Neurospora crassa OR74A: one gene and its partner. Each later gene encodes a partner of the first gene's protein in a complex. Links are inferred from orthologs where the notes say so. Each region holds a gene or a part of one and is shown on either strand. Other genes may lie near its edges. The genes, in order: NCU06485 and NCU02533.

Evidence for each region.
Region 2: NCU06485 (region 1) and NCU02533 share a complex: the UniProt entries of both Saccharomyces cerevisiae proteins name them as parts of the RNA polymerase I (Pol I) complex. The link is inferred for Neurospora crassa OR74A from reciprocal best matches to the Saccharomyces cerevisiae genes RPA49 and RPC40.

Annotation. Positions count from the first base shown.
Region 1 is NC_026503.1:1,578,765-1,589,239, forward strand, and holds NCU06485 (hypothetical protein), read right to left. Parts: upstream 5,948-10,475; 5' UTR 5,875-5,947; coding exon 5,721-5,874; intron 5,648-5,720; coding exon 5,322-5,647; intron 5,269-5,321; coding exon 4,438-5,268; 3' UTR 3,914-4,437; downstream 1-3,913. Other genes in the region: NCU06484 (hypothetical protein), read right to left, coding at 1-1,483; stk-43 (serine/threonine protein kinase-43), read left to right, coding at 7,732-7,795, 7,898-8,256, 8,323-8,517, 8,571-8,617, 8,672-8,959, 9,035-10,130. UniProt on the Saccharomyces cerevisiae protein: DNA-dependent RNA polymerases catalyze the transcription of DNA into RNA using the four ribonucleoside triphosphates as substrates. Component of RNA polymerase I (Pol I) which synthesizes ribosomal RNA precursors.
Region 2 is NC_026501.1:2,643,532-2,653,494, reverse strand, and holds NCU02533 (DNA-directed RNA polymerase I and III polypeptide), read left to right. Parts: upstream 1-5,458; 5' UTR 5,459-5,567; coding exon 5,568-5,645; intron 5,646-5,736; coding exon 5,737-6,795; 3' UTR 6,796-7,155; downstream 7,156-9,963. Other genes in the region: NCU02535 (hypothetical protein), read left to right, coding at 283-1,884; nuo49 (NADH:ubiquinone oxidoreductase 49kD subunit), read right to left, coding at 2,658-2,674, 2,759-3,500, 3,659-4,336; NCU02532 (NEDD8-activating enzyme E1 catalytic subunit), read right to left, coding at 7,367-8,442, 8,501-8,580, 8,639-8,644, 8,726-8,827, 8,928-8,971; NCU02531 (hypothetical protein), read left to right, coding at 9,847-9,963. UniProt on the Saccharomyces cerevisiae protein: DNA-dependent RNA polymerases catalyze the transcription of DNA into RNA using the four ribonucleoside triphosphates as substrates.

The DNA of each region.
Region 1 (10,475 bases):
CCTCGTACTGAATAGAAGGTGAGCGGCGACGGCGAGTGGCAGCTCTTCGCGGCCGCGAGCGTGAGCTCTCGCGAAGCTCCTCGAGTTCTTCAGCAAGCTCCTCCCTATCCAGCTCAACTTCCTCATCACCAGAATCTTGGTTGCGGCGAGGCCTTTTGGCAGCGCGAGCACGGGTGGAACGTCCGCGAACGGGTGTAGCGGCAGACTCATCTGCACTGGAACCTTTACGTCCACTCTTTTTAACTGAAGCCTCCGAGGCATAGCATTCGTTATCGCCCGACTCCTCGCCTGGCTCAAAGTCACTACTAGGTTCAGCGAGCGACCTCTTCTTCAAGCGAGACCCACGCCTGAGGCGGCTCCTGAGTCCTTCGCCCTCTGGTTCAACTGCTGTGACAGTGGTCGTGGTCGAGGCAGCTGTGGTAGATGTGACGGCTCTAGCCCCACGAGTCCGCCTAGTAATCGGACGATCGTCTTCGTCGTCACCGTCTGCGTCTTCTGCTGCTGGCTGGCTCTCGGTCTGTGCAGGTTGTTCTTCGCTAACCTGTTGGGCAGCTCCTTCCTCGGCCACCTGTTCAGCCCTTCCCTCTTGGTGTTCGTCTGGATGGTCAGCGGGCGCATCGACCATGTTCGCCTGACCGGCCAGCTCGTCCACATCGTCAGCATTGGGTATATCCGTCTCGACCTTGAATTCGTCGTCATCTTCCTCATGCGAGGCTTCGGGAATGGGTGGAGGTTGTTGTTTCTTAACACCCTTGGAACCACGGGTAGCTCTGGTGGCGTGGGTCAAGGCTTCCGGGCTTTTACTTCTTGTTGATGCGCGGGTGACGCGGGTATGTCTTCCCGAGTTGGACAGCTCGAGCAATGGCTCGTCCGTCTCTTCCGTGCGGGCTCTCGTAGAGCGGCGGGTCGGGGGAACCATGGTTGCTGGTTCTTTGGCAGCAGCGCCACGTCTTGGTCGTTGTGAGCTTGGCTTGGCGCCTTTTTTGACACTCAGCACAACGATGCGAGACTTCTTTTTGCTGGGACTCTGTTCAGGAGACTCTATCGAAGGCACTCTATGTTCTTCGTCGGGCTCCTGGACGACGTCTTTGTCTTGGTCAGACGACTGGATCCCGTCTTCGTCTTCACTGCTTTCCCTGTACGATTGGTGTCGTGCGGCAGCCTGGCGCATCCGCCTGCCCGTAGCGTTGACAGGAGCGTCCGAGTCTTCTTCTTCTTCCTCGTCTTCCTCTTCACCGAAAGAGATGTCTTGTTCGCTGTCGCTGATATCTTCGTCGTCTTCGATGTCGGATCCTTTGTATCGGCTGTTCCGCCTGCGCGCGCCGCCAGCAGCGCCTCGGTTCTTTGGGCGGCGGGTGTTTGCTTGCTTCCTTGCACTTCGCGGGGTTCGTTGCTTTTCGGCAATGGGGTCGAAGTTTTCGTCTTCGGGATCGGATTTGTTAGGGTCGAAATCCGTGAGAAAGTCCTTTTTACGCTTAGACATAGCAGATTGTTGGTGGGGGCAAAACGGCTAGGTATAATGTGGTCCAATAAGTGCTGCAACGAATAGCTCTGAATAGGACTGGGGTTGGTGGTGGACAATAGTAGGGTGGATTCCGATGGGGTGCCTATTCCGTCCGATGGCGAGAATGGGGGCAAAAAGCTAGCGGTTGGTGAATTGTTGAGCTTGCGACTGGCTATTTCGATGCGATGTTTATTGATAACAGCTATTCAATATCTAGCAGCCTGCATGAATAAGTCGTGTTAGGTCCGTGTGTGCCGTGCAGAGCAAAACAGGATGCGTCAACAGGTCAAGGGAAGCAATGGGAAGTGGGAGCAAAGGGACGGGATGGAAAGAGGCAACTGAACAACCAGAAAAAAAGAGAGCCACATACAGATTTATGTTCTGTCTGGTATGGACCTAGGTGCCGTGGGGGGGTGAAATTGGGTCAACACTCGGTCGGCTCTCACCTTGCTGTCAGGTTGACGACTAACAGGAGGTGGGATGTACCGCTGCATCGACGGAGCACTTTAGTTCAGGTCGAAGTTGCCTTGAGGTTTGGACAGAGCAAAACCTATCCAAGGGCGCAATTGAGGTAGAGCCAGACAGAGAGTCGAAGGGCATCTAGGAGAGGCACTGGGCAGGTAGGAGGATTTGGTAGAATGCGACGACTGATGCGACGATGCTTCTTTTTTTTTTTCTTTGGGTAATGCAATATGCATACACACACACACACACGGCAGCAGACACGCACACACACGCGAACACACGCCCGGCACTAGACTAGACTGCTCGCTGGGGAGTTGAAGTCGGACTGCGGTGCCGGTCTTGGTGCCGAGCTAGTATGTTATGTAGAGGTTGTAGTAGTGAAGGGAGGCAGCAGTGTGGTGCAAATCCTCTCGCGCGCGCGCATAACTTCCCGAGAGGAGAGGACTTGAAGCAAACTCCAGTCGTTATAGTTGAAAGTCGCGAAGCTGGATGGATAAGTAGCTTCACCTCGGCGGGAGATATCGAGTGCAGTCGGTCAGATGCCGTGAATTGTAGGTAGGTTGTGCAGAAGGAAGGCAGGACGGGAGGGAGGCCAGAAGCAGGGGCAAAGACTACCTAGGACTGGCGTGAAAGAAGTGTCACTGGAGTTGAGGTGGTGAGTGAATGAGCGTGGTGAGCTGCCTGGGGTGCGGCAGACGGGAGGCAAGAAGGTGGACAGTCAGCGGTCGGTCGGTCGCGTTCGTTCCCTTCATTACCAGGTAGGTCGTTCGCGGAACTGTGAACTGGAATGAAACTGGAACTGGAAGAAAGGCGCTGGTTGGCACCGTCCTGGCCAATCAGCACGCCCAGAGACCACAAAAGCTGGTCCATGCGCTGCAGGCACCAGCCCCGGCATTGCGAATCACCTCAGAAAAAATCGCAAAGTACCCCCTGCCCCGACAATTCGCCCGTCGACCCAACTTTGACGCGTCGTGAATTGAGCACTCGTATTGTCGCTGTCACCAACACAAAATTGCAGAGAATGGCTGCTCAGATTGAAAGCAGAGACATCAGACAGCATTGGGAAAGGTGCATTGAGTGTGTAAATGCAAAATTGAAGCCGCAATTTAGAGAGCAAAATAATCTGTGGAAAATGGTCGTTGAGAGTGAGACGCGTCTCAGTTGAAGATCCCAAAAGCTCTTTAAAAGAGGCAATGTCGTCATACCATTTAAGCTGGTCGGGGTGGGTGCCGGTGAGGAAAACTGCACTGGCTCTGGTCGCTCGGTGGGGATTTTCCCCACGTGGCTTTCGAATGCGGCTCAAGCGCCTTCACTCTGCACAACGCCAAGGGGTCCAACTTAAGGGGACTGGACTGGAGCGAGGGGAAGCACAAGCAGCGGCCGGCACACGGACGATGGGATGGTCAAGGCAATGGGCCAGGGGAAACGGGGAGGACGGACAAAGTCGGGGACGCTTTGGGGAGGCACAAGGGGAAGGAACTTCATCGTGGGGTGATCGGCTTCGGCCCAGCCCTACCTACCACCGACGGCGTCTCACACCGCGGGGCGGCCAGCGGCCAGCGGCCAGCGAAAGGGGACAACGGTAGAAGGTGACGCCTGGGCGGATGCCCATCCAGGGCAGCCATATAACTACCTTTTCATCTTGTTTTCTTCTAGCCTGGCCGTCGGCTGCTCTGATATCTGCGTAGGATTTGCCGCGGACATTCTTCCTGTTACATATGTTAGCTTGACGTTCGTGGTTCTGATTTTGCACATCAACTGGCGTTAGCTGGTTCAGGTTAATGATCATCTCTGCCCCATTACTCATCTCGAAGCCCGTCATCAGTTCCCATCTTCGTTATTGGGTCCGTGCGGATATCAGTAGTAAACAAACACAAAGGGGTTGGCCAAGCGTTGAGGCACTTGAGAACCAGAACCCAGGGGGGCCAGCTTTTTGTGGGGTGACCCTTTTCCTAGATTTCAATGTCATCTCTTTGACCCCATTCAGAGCTTGATAAAGACTGAGGGACAAGCTTCCCGCCATACTTCTTATGGCCCATCAATTTCCATGACTATTCTCTACATTGTCTATACAATGATATATGCTTTCTAGCCTAGCTTTTACTGCCCGAACCACAAAATAACTGATGTATACCTCGGCAAGATGCTCAAATAGTGCGGTACAGGTCATGGCCTCCTCTCGATTAGGCGCTTGGAATTTTGATTGGCCAGCGCCTGGGTGTCGCTTGGGTGTGTCTCAACAACACACCATGGTGGTTACAGGCTGGAAGCGGCCAGACTTCCAACTGAGCTGGATGATCGCTTCTCTCGCAAAAAGCATGCCTTTTCTCAGCACTTCGTAGGGTACTTCCAAACGTAAGCGCCAAGATGTCCAATGTAGGACTGGGTGGATGATGTGCAATGCGCACAATCCAACTAAACTTGATGATATGATCCGTGGCCGTGGGTCCGGCTCAGCAAAGCGTGGTTTACCTCTTCCGTGCCGGCAGTCTGATCTTGGGAAACTGAAGAGGCAGTTGCAGGACGGCAAAGTTCTCCATCTTGTCAGCGACCTTCTGTTGCTTGACGCGAGCTCCAATCTCGATAAAGTATTGGTTGAGCTGCTTCTGCTCCAGCTTCAGATCTTCTCTCAAGTCAATCGTGTTGACCCTGAAGCCGTCGATGATGGCGGCAAATGCGCAGCAGTGCGTCATCAGAAGGTCAACGTGTGTCTTGCGCATGACTCCGCCGTCCGAGAACTTGCGGCGGATGTTTTCAATCACGATCTCGGGCGCTGGTGCCATAACCTCGCGCAGCTTATCCCTCTTACCAATGCTTCTTGTGCCACGCTCCCTTCCTTGCGAGGTGGCATTCCAGAAAATGATGACGAACAAGAGGTACCGCAGTACCCTCAATCTGTGCACCGCGTCGTCGCTGCTTGCTACGTTGGAAACGCGCTTGGCGACAAAGCGCGAAGGTACCTGGATGTCTTCTAGGTTCTTGACGCTCTCCTGCCAATCCATCACTGGTATCGCGTTCAGGACCTCGGATCCGATAATTTGGGATGGTACGTAGACGTCTGCGATTTCATCGGCATTGAAGTTGCCGCGCGGTACCGGTCGGGCGTTGTCGACAGCGGCTTGAAGGTCTTCCTTGGTCGACATGTCCTTGGTGGCGGTCTTGATGGCGTCCATCATCACCAGCTCGCTCTGGCCAACCTTTTGAGATGTAATGGCGTTCTCCGTCACGTCGCGGATCGCCTTCTTCGCCTTCTTAGTACCGAATGCCTCGCCGAGCTCGTTCCTCATGGCCATCATTTGCTGTTGCACCGTCAGTCTGGTTTTATGCCCCTGACCACTACTTCCAGGCTTACCTGTTTCTGAGTCTTCTCTTCCATTGCCTCGTCAACCGCCTTCTGCGACCTAACTGTGCCACGGAGCACCATCTTGCGCGCCTCTACAATCTCAACCTCGGCGGTTTTGGGGTTGAAGATGCCAATGTAGTGCTTCAGGTATGGGTCGGACGAGTCTCCTGTCCTATCTTCGCGAGCTGTGTAGTCCATCGTCCGGTGGTTGGCAGAGTGCAGCAGCAACTCTTGTGCGGGCGCGCCATTCTTCTTGCGCTTCGAGGTCTTGTCGGCTGGTGTGGCGTAGGCTTGAAATTGTATGGACGAAGAGAGAGCGAGTCCCGAGGTCGCGGCTAGGAGCGCATGTTAGAGTCTTCCTCCATTGGACTTGACGGCCATGGTTTCAGCCGATCAACATGTGCTTACCCACGACCGGAGGCGCATACTGCGGCCTCTTCACAGCTCCGACATTGATGAACTTGGGCGACTTGGACGATTTCTCGGAGTCGACCTTCTTCTTCTTGATTTGGGGTGTTGTATCCTCAGCGCTCTTGCGCTTCTTGTCTGATGAGCTTCCCATGGTGGTGTTTGCGGGCTACAAAGGTGCTGGGGTAGTGTAGAGTCGTGAAGTCCCGCCAAATCAAATGGATCATGCAGCTGGAGAGTCGCTGTCTGAACTTCCGAGTGGATCCCGCAGCCAGAAAAAAATTCTGCCGCCTGCCGGGGTCCGGTATCAGTTACCGCCTTTACAATCGACACACCACATTTGATGACGACGATGCAATATGTTTGATGATTTGTGTTGAAATACTACGAAGCGCGAAATCTTCATGCTATGAAATCAATTGCTATTGGTTTGCTGTTAAATTGCTTGGAGAGATGAAGAATAGCAAGCCGCACGCGTGCTAAAACAATCAACCAGACATGGAGGGGTTCAGTCCAAGTCACAAGGCAAACCAAGGCTTGGGACGCGATTTCTATGCCCTCGTGCATGCAGGCCACTGCCTTCCCCGTCGTTGAAAATGTTCACTGATGTTGCAAAAATTGGTATTCCCTTTGTGTGCAAATGCCATGTCACCTGTTCGAGGGCAGATGACCATGTTGTCGACAGAAACAATTGATCCAAGACATGCAGTCCCGTTTGTCACAGATGCAGAGAAGTGTATCATGAAGCGAAGCGGCCTTTATTGTTGCTGCGACGGGTATCCCGAATTCGCGTCTCCAAACTAGACAGTTTGCTCCCACCGGCGTTGATCCGTAAACACCTTGTTGCTACTCAACCATGAAGTTGACAGGCAACCAGCCAATACCATATCCGCCACCAAACAGTTCCGTTCTATGTGTGCCACAGTTTGATGTGCAGCATGTCCCGAGGGGTGCATGTTCCGTAGGAACCCTGAGTTCGCCTGATCACCGCAAGGTTTCAGAGCGACCGATGTGGCGTCATTCCGCGCTGAGGGGAGGAGTCGACACCGAGCCCAAGTTGTCTAATGGCTTAGAGGATAATGTCAAGAGCTGATTGGGTCGAGTGAGGCGAGGCGTTTATTTGCTGGGATCGAGTCAGCTTATATGCTCCTGAGTGGCGATTGTAGCTGCATCAACTGTCGATGCGCCGATGGTGAAACTTACGATCTCGCTCTCATCTTTCTTCTCTTGCGCTTAAGGCGTCTCACGCGCTTCTTTCTCCACTTCGCTCTCATCTTGAACTGCTTGTATGTCAGTAGGCGGGCAAGCAAATGCTGGGGGGCGGGAGCGCGTACATCTTGGATTTAAAGATGAGTTTTGCTTGTTGGTGATGGGAAAGAGTTTCAACTTGCGAATGGAGAGGGGGAACTTTTATCTCATAGGGCTCCAGGGCAAGCAGCCCTGTGGGGTAAGTCAGGTGACGCAGGCCCAAATTGCCCAGGCCTGCCGCTCTTTGTTTGGATGCGGTCCGTGCGGGGTGCGACCTTTGCCCTAGGTGGCCCAAGCTCCCGCTGACGGACGGGAGCTTCAGCTGGACTGCATCAGAAGCTCGGCTCGGAGATCGACTCCCGTCTCGTCCTCCAACGAGCGAGCCTGCCTCCCGCTCCTACTAATGGACACTGCACTTTCACTTCACTTGCAAGCTGCACCCGTCCAGGTCAAAGGAAGGCACGACCTGTCTGCATAAAAAGATTTTCACGATAGCTGGACATGGGAAGGAGGAGTCGATCCTCAAGGCACCAACTCACTCTTCCAATCTCGTCCTGTGATCTTGAACTCTGAGTGTCGTTCCCAACCTTTACCTACTTCTACTTCTCAATACGCAAAGCCACGGTGGGCCATGAATAGTCAACACTATCTACGGACGCAAGTGACGACATCAACGCATACATGAGTGAACGTTGACATTGCCGGCTTTATCATTATCATTATCCTTTGTTTTCCGTGTCTCGGTGTTGACAGCTGGTTTGATATGTCGCAACCGCCTGTGGCAAGTGTTTCCTTCGAAGACACTAGCACTGCTCCTCCTACAAGAGGTAGGTATCTGTCATTTCCCTGAAGTGATCGTGAATACTGTGATGTATCCCTCGCTGGTCTCCTCCAACCAGTGCTCCCTAACTTTCGTGTCGCAAGTCCAGGCGGCTTTTACATCTGGCCAAACCAGACAGTCAGAATTGGTCGTGACACGGACCGAGATAATAATGACGTTGTCTTTGTCGATTCCACTGTCTCAAGAAACCACTTTGAGCTGTATTCTATCACTGTTGACGAAGAAGGTCGCCATACATCACTTGTGTTTGTGCGAGACCGACAGTCTTCCAACGGGACTCTGCTCAACAAAAAGTGCGTTGGGAAGAAGCCAGACATCACTCCGGGAAGACTACTCCAGAATGGGGATGTCATCTCCATATATCCTTACATCACTTTCAAGTTCGTTCAGCTCGAGCAGGGAACTTCGTTTTTGCGGCTCACTGCACGCCAGCGAGAGGAGCTCAAGGTACTATTGTTATCTTGGCGTGCGACGAAAATAAAACATGCCATGATCTGACTTAGCAACATCCAGCTCCTTGAGAACCGATACCTTGTGGAAGACCGCACATTAGGAAACGGTGCCCATGCTGTGGTCTACCTAGCCACAGATGTCTTGACAGGGCAGCAGGTGGCTTGCAAAGTGCACAACTTAGATAGACGGCCCCGGTCACACCAGATACTCCGTCGGATCAAGCAGGAGGCAATGCTGTTGAGCTACCTCGATCACGTAAGTCATTGAAAGGGCACGGGACGATGGATCAAGCTAACAAAAGTCGTCAGCCGAATATTCTTTCCATCAAGGCTGCCTTCGAATCAGAGCATTCGGTGTAAGACCTTCATCACGAGCAGCTAGCAGGGTTGGGCAACTAATGTATCTCTAGGTATATCTTTACAGAGCTGGCTACTGGTGGCGATCTCTTCTCACTTCTATCACGCGAGGGGGCACTCCCCGAGCTAGAAATACGCTGGATCATACGCCAGACCCTCAATGCTGTTGACTACATCCACAACAAGGGGGTCGCACATCGAGACATCAAGCCAGAGAATATTCTCTGTGCCATAGCGCCAAATGTCTCCTACAGGCTTGTTCTCTCCGATTTTGGGGACTCGGCTGTTACGAACCGTGGAAGATTAAGGTCCGAGGTTGGAACAACCTTCTATCGCGCCCCGTGAGTTTCGCACTTCCCCTCCTGGGTTGACATATGTCACTGGATTGTTGAGAGCAATGCTAACGCTTGATTCAGCGAATGCTATAACTCCGAGCGAGGTCATTCATTGTCTGTCGACATCTGGTCCATTGGGATGCTTTGCCTTCAGCTTTTCTCTGGATTCCAAGAACTTCCGAATCTTCGTCATCTCGATTTTACCAGCCAAGACAGAATCGACCGCTACCTCAACATCATCCTCAATGACCTCGGCTGTGACATTGCTGTTCAAGATGGCGATGAAGACTACGGCAATGACAATGAGCCCATTGACCCTCAAACCTCCCGCCTCCGTCCAGATGAAAACATCTCAAGCCATGCAAAGGACTTCATTCGCGGATGTCTCACCTACAACAGCAAACACCGGCTCACGGCGCGCCAAGCTCTTACTCATCCCTGGATATGCGAGCCCGAGGAAGATGACAGTCTCTTCAGACGTCTTGAAGGCGATAATGCAGCTTCGTGGGAGCCTAGGAAGATTCGGCTCGCTCCTTTCATCGAAAAGCTCGATGCGACCACTGATGCGCATAATGGGAATGGAGAACAAGAACTTGGTACGGCGGCAGAGCCTATGGGGGAGGAGGAGGAAGAAGACGAAGACGCCAGTGCTAAGATTTCGCCACACTTTCAGAGGGACCCGACTCCTTTCCTTTCGTGTCACACCTTATCATCAGCCCATCAACAACGAGAAGAGGAAGACACAGATCACCCACTAAGCGCCAAAAGCTGGTTTTCATCTCCGCTGACAGTTCAAACCCGGCGGACTAGTCAAAGACCACAACACCAGCCAGGTTTGTGGATTGACTCTGACCCATCGCATCCCTCCGAGGACGAAGGATGGGGGGCCGGCGGTATCAGAGCACATCGTCCCCCTCTACCCTCATTCACGTTTACTCCACCATCGCCAGACTTGCCAGAACTTTCTTCTTCGCCCTTGGCGCCACTTTCACAAGAATCAATTATCCATGGCAAAGTGAACAGCAACCAGCACAGCGACGAGCGTCCAAAGGAAGATGCATCGATGACTGAACCGTCCGCAACCGCAGCAACTTTAGCTCATCTGCGAGAGGCAGAGAAAAGACGGAACGAGTTCAAGCTGACTGACTGCAAACGACGGAGGACTTGTCCAGTCTGACCGCCGACCGCCGATAACATGTTCAGTATCCAGGCATTTGACTGACGACCCATGATACTTCTGTAACTGTGTGATGGCGCTTATTGACATAGTAGGGACTAAGCTTCATGTTAGCATATGTGTGATAGATATCCATGTGGCTTTCGTCAAGTTAGGCACTTGATGCGATGTGGATTGATGTGTTTTTCCCCAAGTCGTTTGTACGTTGTCGAAGGATGGATGATGACCCGGCGGTGCGGGGATGTGCGTTTCAGTTGAATTGAGGCTGAGTCCTAACGACATCATGCGGCCTGGTTAGGCACTTGTCAGCCATTCATCCATTCATCCACATCTCTGAGGCACAAG
Region 2 (9,963 bases), on another chromosome or scaffold:
TCTTCGTCGGAGCCATTGAGTCCGCTCAATTCCGTCGCCTTAGGATTGACGACAAAGTTACAACAACCTCGCAGGACGCTTCAGAGGGTGACCGAAGCCGTGGTCAGGGCCAGTTGGCAGTTTTATTCATACAACGGTCCTGAACTTCAATGCAGTCTTCGTCGATATCTCTACGTATCAATACCGCTCAATCAACCATAGCTCTGGTTCACTTTCAACTGCGGCTTAGCCAGGCCCAGTTGACACGAGATTTCCGTGCAAGCAGCTCAAGTCAACAGAGGGATGTGTATCCAAGAGTACATTGCCTACCAGTGTGGGCACCGAACACCGGGTGTCGTTCGCCCGTGCCCCCTGACCACCGCAGGACACAACTTCCCCATCTGCACCATCCGGCCGTCAAAGCAACACCTGGCACAAACCATGTGCGGCCCTTGCGAAAGACTCCTACACTCACGATGGGTACTTATTCGGGAGTGGGAGCATCGCTGGCTCCATGAGCGTGGAGTTTGCGGCTGTGATGTGGTCTTCCCCGGCCTTCTGACCCGACCTCGCGTGATTGGCAACGTCCTAGGTCCAGAGGAAGACTTCACTGAAGGGGCCCGAGACGACACAATCGGACATTGTGGATCTGCTCCCACTCCCTATGATCCAACGGAGGTAGAGGAGGCACTACAACAAGGCAATACAGGAACAGGAACTTACCACATTCCGCCCATATTCACCGAGACCGCTACCGGCGATCAGCAGCGTGTTGCCATCCGCTTGCCCAGCTTGTACGCGGCCGAGTGGCTAGCTGATCACCGCGCTCTCCACGACAGCGGAAGATGCCAGTGTCCGGTCCGTTTTACGCCCTTTCAGCCTGACGTGGGAGAATATGACATGATCACCGGGGAACGGGAGTATCTCCAGGAATACCGCCAGACTGAGAGCCGCAATAGGGCCATAAACAAGGGTGAGGAGGAAATTACTTTACGGATGGCCCAGATCAATGATACGTTTGGAACTTTTGATCCTGCTGCTGCTGCGTCATCACCCCCGGCCAAACCGAAACCTCCTCTTGTATCTAATTTACCTCCGACCGGCCCTCGTCATACCAGAGCTCGCTCGCATCACCGCCAGAGCCACTGCCTTCATCATCAGCAGGAGCATTTTCATCAAGGACAGGGACATCACCACAGCCAGCCAAGGCATGCCACTTCGGTGACTTTGGCGAACACCTCCGTGCCTTTCCCCCAGGGGCGGTCTTGTGATCCGGCAGCACAGCACCAGCAGCGACCGGAGCTTTTCGGCCTGGCAGATCAGCCAGGGCAGCTCTCTATCCGTTCGTCGTCCCACGCCGTCGCCTCGGTCTACGGCAACCATGAACAACACGTTTACGGACCACACACCTTCGTACCAATGGGCATTGTTTTCCCCGATCATTGTGACCACGAGCCCGAGACTCAGGATGGACCGCAACAGCTTCAGCAACATTGTCAGGAACTTCATTCCCTAACCAGTCGTTCCTCTCCGCCACCGTGTCTTCCATTCCCATTTCCATACTGCGGTCTGCCCGTCGGCTCCGGACCAGAGGGCAGTGAAGTACACATGCCTAATTGGGAGGATTGTCAGTTGAGAAGATGCAAGTCGAGCTTCCAATCTGAATCTGAACCTGGACCTGGACCTGAACCTCGTTCTAGAGCTGGGGTGGTTTCGAGCGAGGTTCAAGCTGAGACTAATAAGGTTGGGACCGATACTGAAACCAATAACGGAAACGGAAACGGAACCGGCATCGCGAATGATGCTGAAGGTGGTTGTGGGGCTCAAGTTGATCACGCCGAGCAATACCAGCAACACCGTACAAGTTTGGGAAGAGGACACCAGCGGAGCTCATCGTACTCCTGAGCGGGATTAAGGATTCCTCATCTTGAGTCCTTGGACTGGTGAGTCGCCATCCCATCGCTTCCATGACTTGTTTCGAAGATGTGAATTCCCTGGGACTTTTATGAGAGTGGCCCAATTGTGAAGCTAACAATACAGAGGACAGCGAACCACGAAAACAACAAATTCTCAGCGCGCAGTATGACGGCGGGATGGAGATTATCAAAGTCGACAGAGAGCGAGTGTTCGCTCCGCGACAATGTTCGACGGCAGCCAGTCCAGTGGCGGCTGAGAAGTTATTGTAACAACAAGCAGTCGTCGCGTTGCCTTTTTCATATCTCGTCTCACAGCACCACACAACCATGCACATCAAGGACTGGCACAACTAACACCAACACCACAGAAAATGTTGAAGAAGAAGGACGTGGATGATGTGTTGCACACAACTCAACGACGAAAGACCAAAGCATGGCATCCCTTCACTTCAGTCTCTCTTTTAAAGACCCGATGACTGAATTGGCTATTCTTCTTCTGTTGCTGGTCTAGTCTGCATCTATCTATGTTTCCTGTTCCGTTTTTGCCAGGGGATAAGAGAAGAAGTCAAAACGTCCCACCTTTATCAGCAAAACCCAAAGTACTGTTTCTCCTTTAGGCGTTCTTTAAAGGTAAAACATCGCGCGCGGCCTGCTTATCCGCTCATTTCAATATCTGCAGTTGCTGTGCTTCATTCATCAAAAAAAAAATATCCCATGCGTTGCGTTCCATGTCACAAAGTTTGCAGCCGGAGAGCTTCAACATTACCGATCGACCTCACCTGGAAGTAGGAATAAAAGGGTTAGCTACCAAACCACTTGGAATTTTAAAGAAGAGAGTTTCACACAATGAGAATCAAACTTACCAAACACCAAATCCATTGTGCCGATAACGGCCACGGCATCAGCCAACATGTGGCCCCTCGACAAGTGGTCAAAGCCACCCAGATGAGCAAAGCCGGGAGCGCGGATGTGCACACGATACGGCCTCTCGGAACCATCACTGACGACATAGACGCCCATTTCGCCCTTGGGGGCCTCGATGGCCGAGTAGGTGTCACCGGGCGGGACGGCATAGCCCTTGGTGTACAGCAAGAAGTGGTGGATGAGGGCCTCCATGTTCTCCTTCATGGCGGAGCGGGGCGGCGGGGAGATCTTGTAGTCTTCGACACGGACGGGACCAGCGGGCATCTTGTTAAGGCACTGGTGGATGATACGGAGTGACTGACGGAACTCCTCCATGCGGCACAGGTACCGGTCGTAGCAGTCGCCGTTGATGCCAACGGGAACGTCAAACTCGACTTGGTCGTATGCGTCGTACGGCTGACTCTTACGGATGTCCCATGGCACGCCGGAACCGCGGAGCATGACGCCCGTGAAGGACAGGTTCAGGGCGTCGGCGGCAGAGACTACACCGATGCCGCGCAGACGGTCTATCCAGATACGGTTGTCCGTAAGCATCTCCTCGGTTTCGTCGATGCGGTCGCCGAACTGCGTGGCCCACATGTAAATGTCATCGAGCAGGCCGAGAGGGATATCTTGGTGGACACCTCCGGGGCGGACGTAGGCAGCATGGAGACGGGCACCAGAGACTCGCTCGTAGAATTCCTAAGGTTTTTCACATATTAGATTGAGCTGCTGGGGTTGGGTGCGTGCTGCATTGGTATTCCCAGGTCCTTTCGCGTAGAGTTTCGCGCATTGGTTTTTAATATACCCATCTGATAGAGACCGCCGATATTTAACGAAAAATACGAATCAACACTCACCATCAATTTCTCTCTTTCCTCAAAGCCCCACAAGAAAGGCGTGAGAGCGCCGACGTCCATGGCGTGCGACAAAACAGACATGAGATGGTTGAGAATACGGGTAATCTCAGCGAACATTGTACGAATCCACTTGGCACGCTCGGGGATCTCAACGTTGAGCAGCTTCTCAACGGCCAGAGCAAAACATTGCTCGTTGGTCATCATGGAGACGTAGTCAAGACGGTCAAAGTAAGGGAGCGCCTGAAGGTAGGTCCTGTACTCGCAGAGCTTCTCGGTGCCGCGATGCAGCAGGCCGACGTGGGGGTCGGCACGAACAATCTCTTCACCCTTTAGCTCGAGAATCAGGCGCAACACACCGTGAGCGGCCGGATGCTGAGGACCGAAGTTGACCGTGTAGTGCCGCACCTTGCGGGCCAGGATATGATCCTGGGGAGGCACTCTCGGGGCACCGTCTGCCTTCAAAGCCTCCAAGCCATACAGATCGTTGTTGGGCGCAAAGTCGTCGCCGGTAGGGACCAGACGGGTTCCTTGGCCCTCGTAGCTGGGCTCGGCATACCGTCTGAGAGCGGAGGCAGAAAAGGCGCGAGTCGAGTTGAGGTTGTGAGCGATGGTGGTGCTCTGGCGCATACAATGGCGCTTGGCATTGCGCCCAGCGAGTCGGAACAACGTCGTCGCCATTGTTGTTTGTGGGACTGCCGCTTGCTTTGGGTCGCTCAGAAGGTCAGGGAACGGAGATGGATAGATTCGCAGGATTGACAGCGACGGAGGACAAAGGGGAGGAGGTTCGCCGCTGGATGTGGCCTCTTCTCCGGCGGTTCAATGGCTCGCAGTGAGCTTGCGATTTCTAGTGATAGCAGTAATAAGGTGGTGGTGGAGATGCTTCAGTTGACGTCCAGTCGACTTTCCCTGACCACGGCCGCAGCAACGCCCCAGCTTCGAACTCCTCAAATCGTTGCCGTCAGTTGGTCAGTGAATTTCAACCCAATCAAAGGCCATCAGTTGAGCAGTCAGAGACCAAGCTTCTTCTGGTACAACGTTCCCCCCACGGCGGGCAAGCTCCCGTCTCGACTGTTGCCGGCCAAGGCGTTTATCCGGCAGCCGTGCCGCCAAGCGGTCCCATGGAGGGCAGCCGCGCTATATGCCATCTGATTGGCTGGTTGTAGAAGCCTCGGTCCTTCGCCAGGCAGTCTCGAGGCAGTGTAAGTCGGAATTTGGGCATTTTAGGGAGAGGTTTTCGCAGAAAGGAAGAGGAGGATGGAAGAGCATGTCCACACTTATAACAATGACCACAGAGATTCCAAGATGTGCTGGAGTTAAGAGTGGAGTTAGTCAACATGTCACTTACTCGCGACAAACCTCGATGTGGACATGGAATATGAAGCCCCGATGTCTTTCCCTCGCCGAAGCTACAAAATTGTGGATTTGGAATTGATACTCCCGACATGCAAGTATATCTAGGTAGTTGAAGTATCTCCCATCATACCTGCGCAGCCCTTTGCAAGTGAAGATCTAGCGTTCTCTCTTCGCCTCAGGTTTCGTCGATGGTCGAAGTCGACGGTAACCTGACAGAGGTTATGGCCCGCCATGTACCCTGTTGGCCTTGTCCCAGTCATTGCGGTCCTGTCCACAATTGTCTCCGCCGAGGCCCATGAGCATCAAGTTGAGCCAGGCAGTCCCTGAACCTCTCCGCCACTGCCTGCAGCACGATAAGATCTCAGCCAACCAATCAACCGCATTCCCGCGAAGGCGGTCAAAAAGTTCCCGTTCGTGGGAAAAATTCTGCCGCTCCATCGCCCGTCGCACAGCGCAGAGCTCTCTTTCCCAAGATTTTGCCCGGCGTGCCGACCTGCGTGTGAAAGCGAGAGGGTAACCCCGCCAACCTAGAGCATTATTTACACATATCGTCGCAATGGGATCCTCAAAGAAGCAGACCGCCGTGCCCGTCAGGACAAAGGTCCCGAGCCCAGAAGAGGTTGAGAAGCGTAACGTACGTCAATCACTGGCTTGCCGCCCATCATCATCAGTCGAGGCTGCGCAGCGCATGCAACGCGGAAACTGATGGCATTTTTCTTCTGCAGACTGTCCATATCAACGCCGAAACTGTCACCAATGTCACATCCACCGACTTTCCCGGCTTCTACCCCGGCGAGGATCATTCCTGGGATATCGAAAAGTTCCGCGAAAGTGTCCGCGTAGTGTTCCACCAGAACGACCCTTATGAGGCTCAATTCTCGCTCATTGGCGTCGACGCCTCTATCGCCAATGCCTTCCGCCGTATCATGATTGCCGACATCCCCACGCTGGCCATTGAGGACATTTTCATGTGGAACAACACCTCCGTGATCCAGGACGAAGTTCTTGGCCACCGCCTGGGCCTGATCCCGTTCACCGGCGGCAAGGAAGGCCTCCATAACTTCCTCAAGTGGTACAAGAAGGGCGAGACCCCGTGCGACTACAACACGGTCGAGCTCGAGCTCAAGGTCAAGTGCGAGAACAACGAGAGCGCGCCGGCAGACAGCAAGGACCCCAAGGAGCTCTACCACAACGCCCATGTTTACGCTAAGGACATCAAGTTCGTGCCCAAGGGCCGGCAAGCCAAGTACTTCTCGGGCGAGAACGCCATCCGGCCCACGAACCCTGACATCCTCGTCGCCAAGATGCGGCCGGGACAGGAGATCGATCTGACGATGCACATGCACAAGGGCGTCGGGTCCGATCACGCCAAGTTCTCCCCCGTCGCCACGGCCTCGTACCGCCTCATGCCGACCATCACCATTCTCGAGCCGATCCTAGGCCGCGACGCCGAGAAATTCCAGAAGTGCTTCCCCGAGGGCGTCATCGGGCTGGAAAAGGTCACCAAGGAGGAGGCGAAGAAGAAGGGCAGCGGATACGAGGGCCATGAGGGCGAGCTCAAGGCCGTGGTCCTGGACGCCATGCGTGACACCGTCAGCAGAGAGTGCTTGCGCCATGACGAGTTCAAGGACAAGGTCAAGCTGGGCCGAAGGAGGGATCACTTCATTTACCTGGTGGAGAGCACGGGGCAGTGGGAAAGCGACGCCATCTTCCTCGAATCGATTGCCCACCTCAAGGAGAAGGCGAAGAGGTTCGAGAAGCAGGTGGTGAACATGGTACAGTAAACATTGTACCAGGGGTAGGAGGATTCAAAATAGCACGAAGAAGAGGTGAGGTTATTTCTATGTACGGTGGTTGAGACAGAATTTGAGCGATCATGATGTGGAATCACACAGGGAAAGAGGAAAAATCACACGGATTAGGTCGTGAGGATACCCATCTCTCTTGTAACCATATAAAAGAACATTGGAACGGCGTCATGGAGGCTAGGGATTGGTGGCCAGCTTTAGTTTAATGGTTTCTGCTTGTTAATTATCATAGACATGTCGGTGCACATGAGTCATGAACCACACTGTCTTGCATAAACACAGTACCCCTCATTTGACATGATGTCTTTTGGTTACGTACTGCGTAGCATATTGTTGAAGCACATTGTTAATCATATCTTGTATTCACATCTAATTAATTGCAAAGGAAGTTAACTCATCGCTATAGCCATCTTGCGGGTCATTCCCCGCTGCTTGTTGTGCAACGCTCCCGCTCGTAGGTAATTTACAAATCTAGTCCCTAAATAGCATGAACAAAGTCCAGGCAAACCAGGCCAGGCCATCATGACACGTTCATGTCTGGGGACCATCATGCAAACTTGAGGCTGAAGTTGAACACCACGCCTACAAACGCTGGATCAGTAACGGCGAGCTCAGTACCTTCCGTCAGCCCAAGCTGCTCAAGTGTCTTCTCCAAGTTTGGCCGCGTCTGCTCCTCCAAGTTCGGGGGCAACTGCATGTACAGCGTCTTGCCCTCAGCCCGCACCGACGGCTTCTTCAGTTGCGCCTCAGGAAGGGTAGCAAACGACTCTATGAGCTCTTCGAGTGTCCACTTGGGGTTGACCTTGAGCACCCTTGCCGTCATGCCGCACACGGGGCAGTCCTCCTTTTGCTCGTGCTTAAACGTATACGTGTAAATGCTGTCGTTGCCGGAATACATCATATAATTAGGCTCGCCTTCGCCGGGGGTGCCCAAAAAGGGTGCACAGCTGGATGCGATCTTGAGTGCCTCGTTGCAGCAGGCCGCGGCGATGACCGAGTTCGTGGCCGCGATGGCCGGGATGATGTTCTTCACCACGCCTTGCGTCAGAGAGTACGTGACGCCCGATATGTTGAATTCCTTTGCCCGCTCGAGGGCTTTCTGGTAGAGCCAGGTGATGTGCTCCGGGTCGTCCTTGTCGAGCTGCGGGAACGGCTTCTCCTTGTCCCAAGCGATGACGTGCGCCCATTCGATGCAGTGCTCCGGCTGGCGGGGGATGCTGGCGAGAGTGCAAAGAGGAACGGCGGCTCGGGGAGCGTGCATGTCTAGCTGGCACTCGATACAAGAGCCCATGGTCGGTAGAATAACGCGGGCTTGGCCCTTGAAGCCCTCGGTGCCGCCGTCGATGAGAGGTTTCATGCTATCAGGGTTTTCACAACTCGCCATGTTGACCAGGGTGGCGTTGATCCATCGGCGTGCCTCGATGCTGTCCAGTCCGCAGACTACAATCTGGAACTGCTGGTAGAAGTCTTCATCGAAGTCCTGTATCTTGCAGTTATATGGCGTGATCTTGACGCCTTTGACTCTTCTCTCAACGAACTTGGCAGCTACTTCGGCTTTGAATTTCCCTACGTCCGCGTGACGGAAGAGAAACTGGCGGTTAAGGTTGGAGATGTCGATCGTATCTAGACTTCCAGGTCAGCTATCATTGACATGTCGATATATCTATAGAGGACAACCGACCCATGTCGATGACGGAAATGTCCTTGAACCCGGAAAGGGCGAGGTTCTTGAGGATCTCACAACCCAGTCCTCCAGCTCCGCTACCTTGCCGTCAGTTCTCATAACCATGACCCGTCAAATCATTAAGCTGAGACTAACATGACTCTGGAAAAGTTATCAGCTTCTGCTTGAATAATTTGATATACGCATACACTTGATGTACTGCCAATTAAAAGGATAACTTACAAGATCTTGATTTTGTTCATGTTCTCTACTACCGTTGAGCCATCAAACTCTTCCGGATCCACGAATGCGCCTGGCCGTGTTCGGACATTGTTGAGATACTTCCTATGGTAAAGGTGGCGTGTTAGCTGTTGGGACTCATGCCCTGAAGATATGAAATCCAGGGGGTGTTCTTGGGTCGCGATCGAGAGCGCGTAACACCTACCATCTTTTGGCTTCGGAGTCTGGGAGTACTTCTGGACTTGACATGACTAGTTTATGGCTACAAGAGGAGACTTCGCTGGTGAGATAATTAAGGGGGAGGCCGGCGGGTAGGATGAGAAATGCTAGTGATAATATTTGCTGATTAGTCGCGGCTCACAAATTGTTGCAGGTTGAATGTACAATCCGAGGGGTGAGTTGACGGGACAACAAACAAACGGAACTGGAGGAGGGAAGCTTCCATAGTTCCACTTGCGGGCGGGCCCGGACTTCAGGTTCGGAGATGGTGAGTGGATAGCTCCTGCCGCCCCGTTAAAGGAGACCCTGTAGGTTACCAACAGCGGCAACGGAGAGTGCCCGAAAGTGCAGTTCAGGGCCGCTACAGGGAAGGGACGACTGCCTGCACAACGGATCAGTTAGCACTTAGCAGCAACACCGACGCTACGTATCATCCCCTGTTGCTTTCCGTTTGACGCAGATAACTACGTACACTCAGTGAAATGTCGTCGATACGAAACGGAATTTCCACTTTCCTTCCAATTCGTTCCGTCCTCTTTCGATCGGTCAAACGATAGGTAACGTTCCGGGGTGTGAATTTCACTTCAAGCCCAGCCTGTGTATTTCAAAGTCCTCATCACCAACTGACATCATTACAGATATCTGAGATGAACGGCCTCTTGACGCCCATCAGCACCTCCCGCCTGAGTGCGAGCCCCAACGAACCTCTGCTCCAGGAAGTTGGCCTCAGAAAGGAAACAGTAAAGCCGAACCAATCTCCTGGTCAGAGGCCCTTGAACTCGCCCGAGGAAGCCCTCGAAGTTTTACGACATGAACCTAACTACGACCAGCTCGTCGCTACTTTGCGATTCCTCAGCCATGAGGATTTAGCCGGGTCCACATTCAGCATCAAGGAACCAAGTCCTATGACCGCAAAGCTAGTTCAGGTGCTGGTGTCAGAAATCGTCCCGAACTATTGGACTCTGCTAAACGAAGACTCCCATGAAACCAAGTCTTCGGCCTTGGGGCTCTTGCTAGCTTGT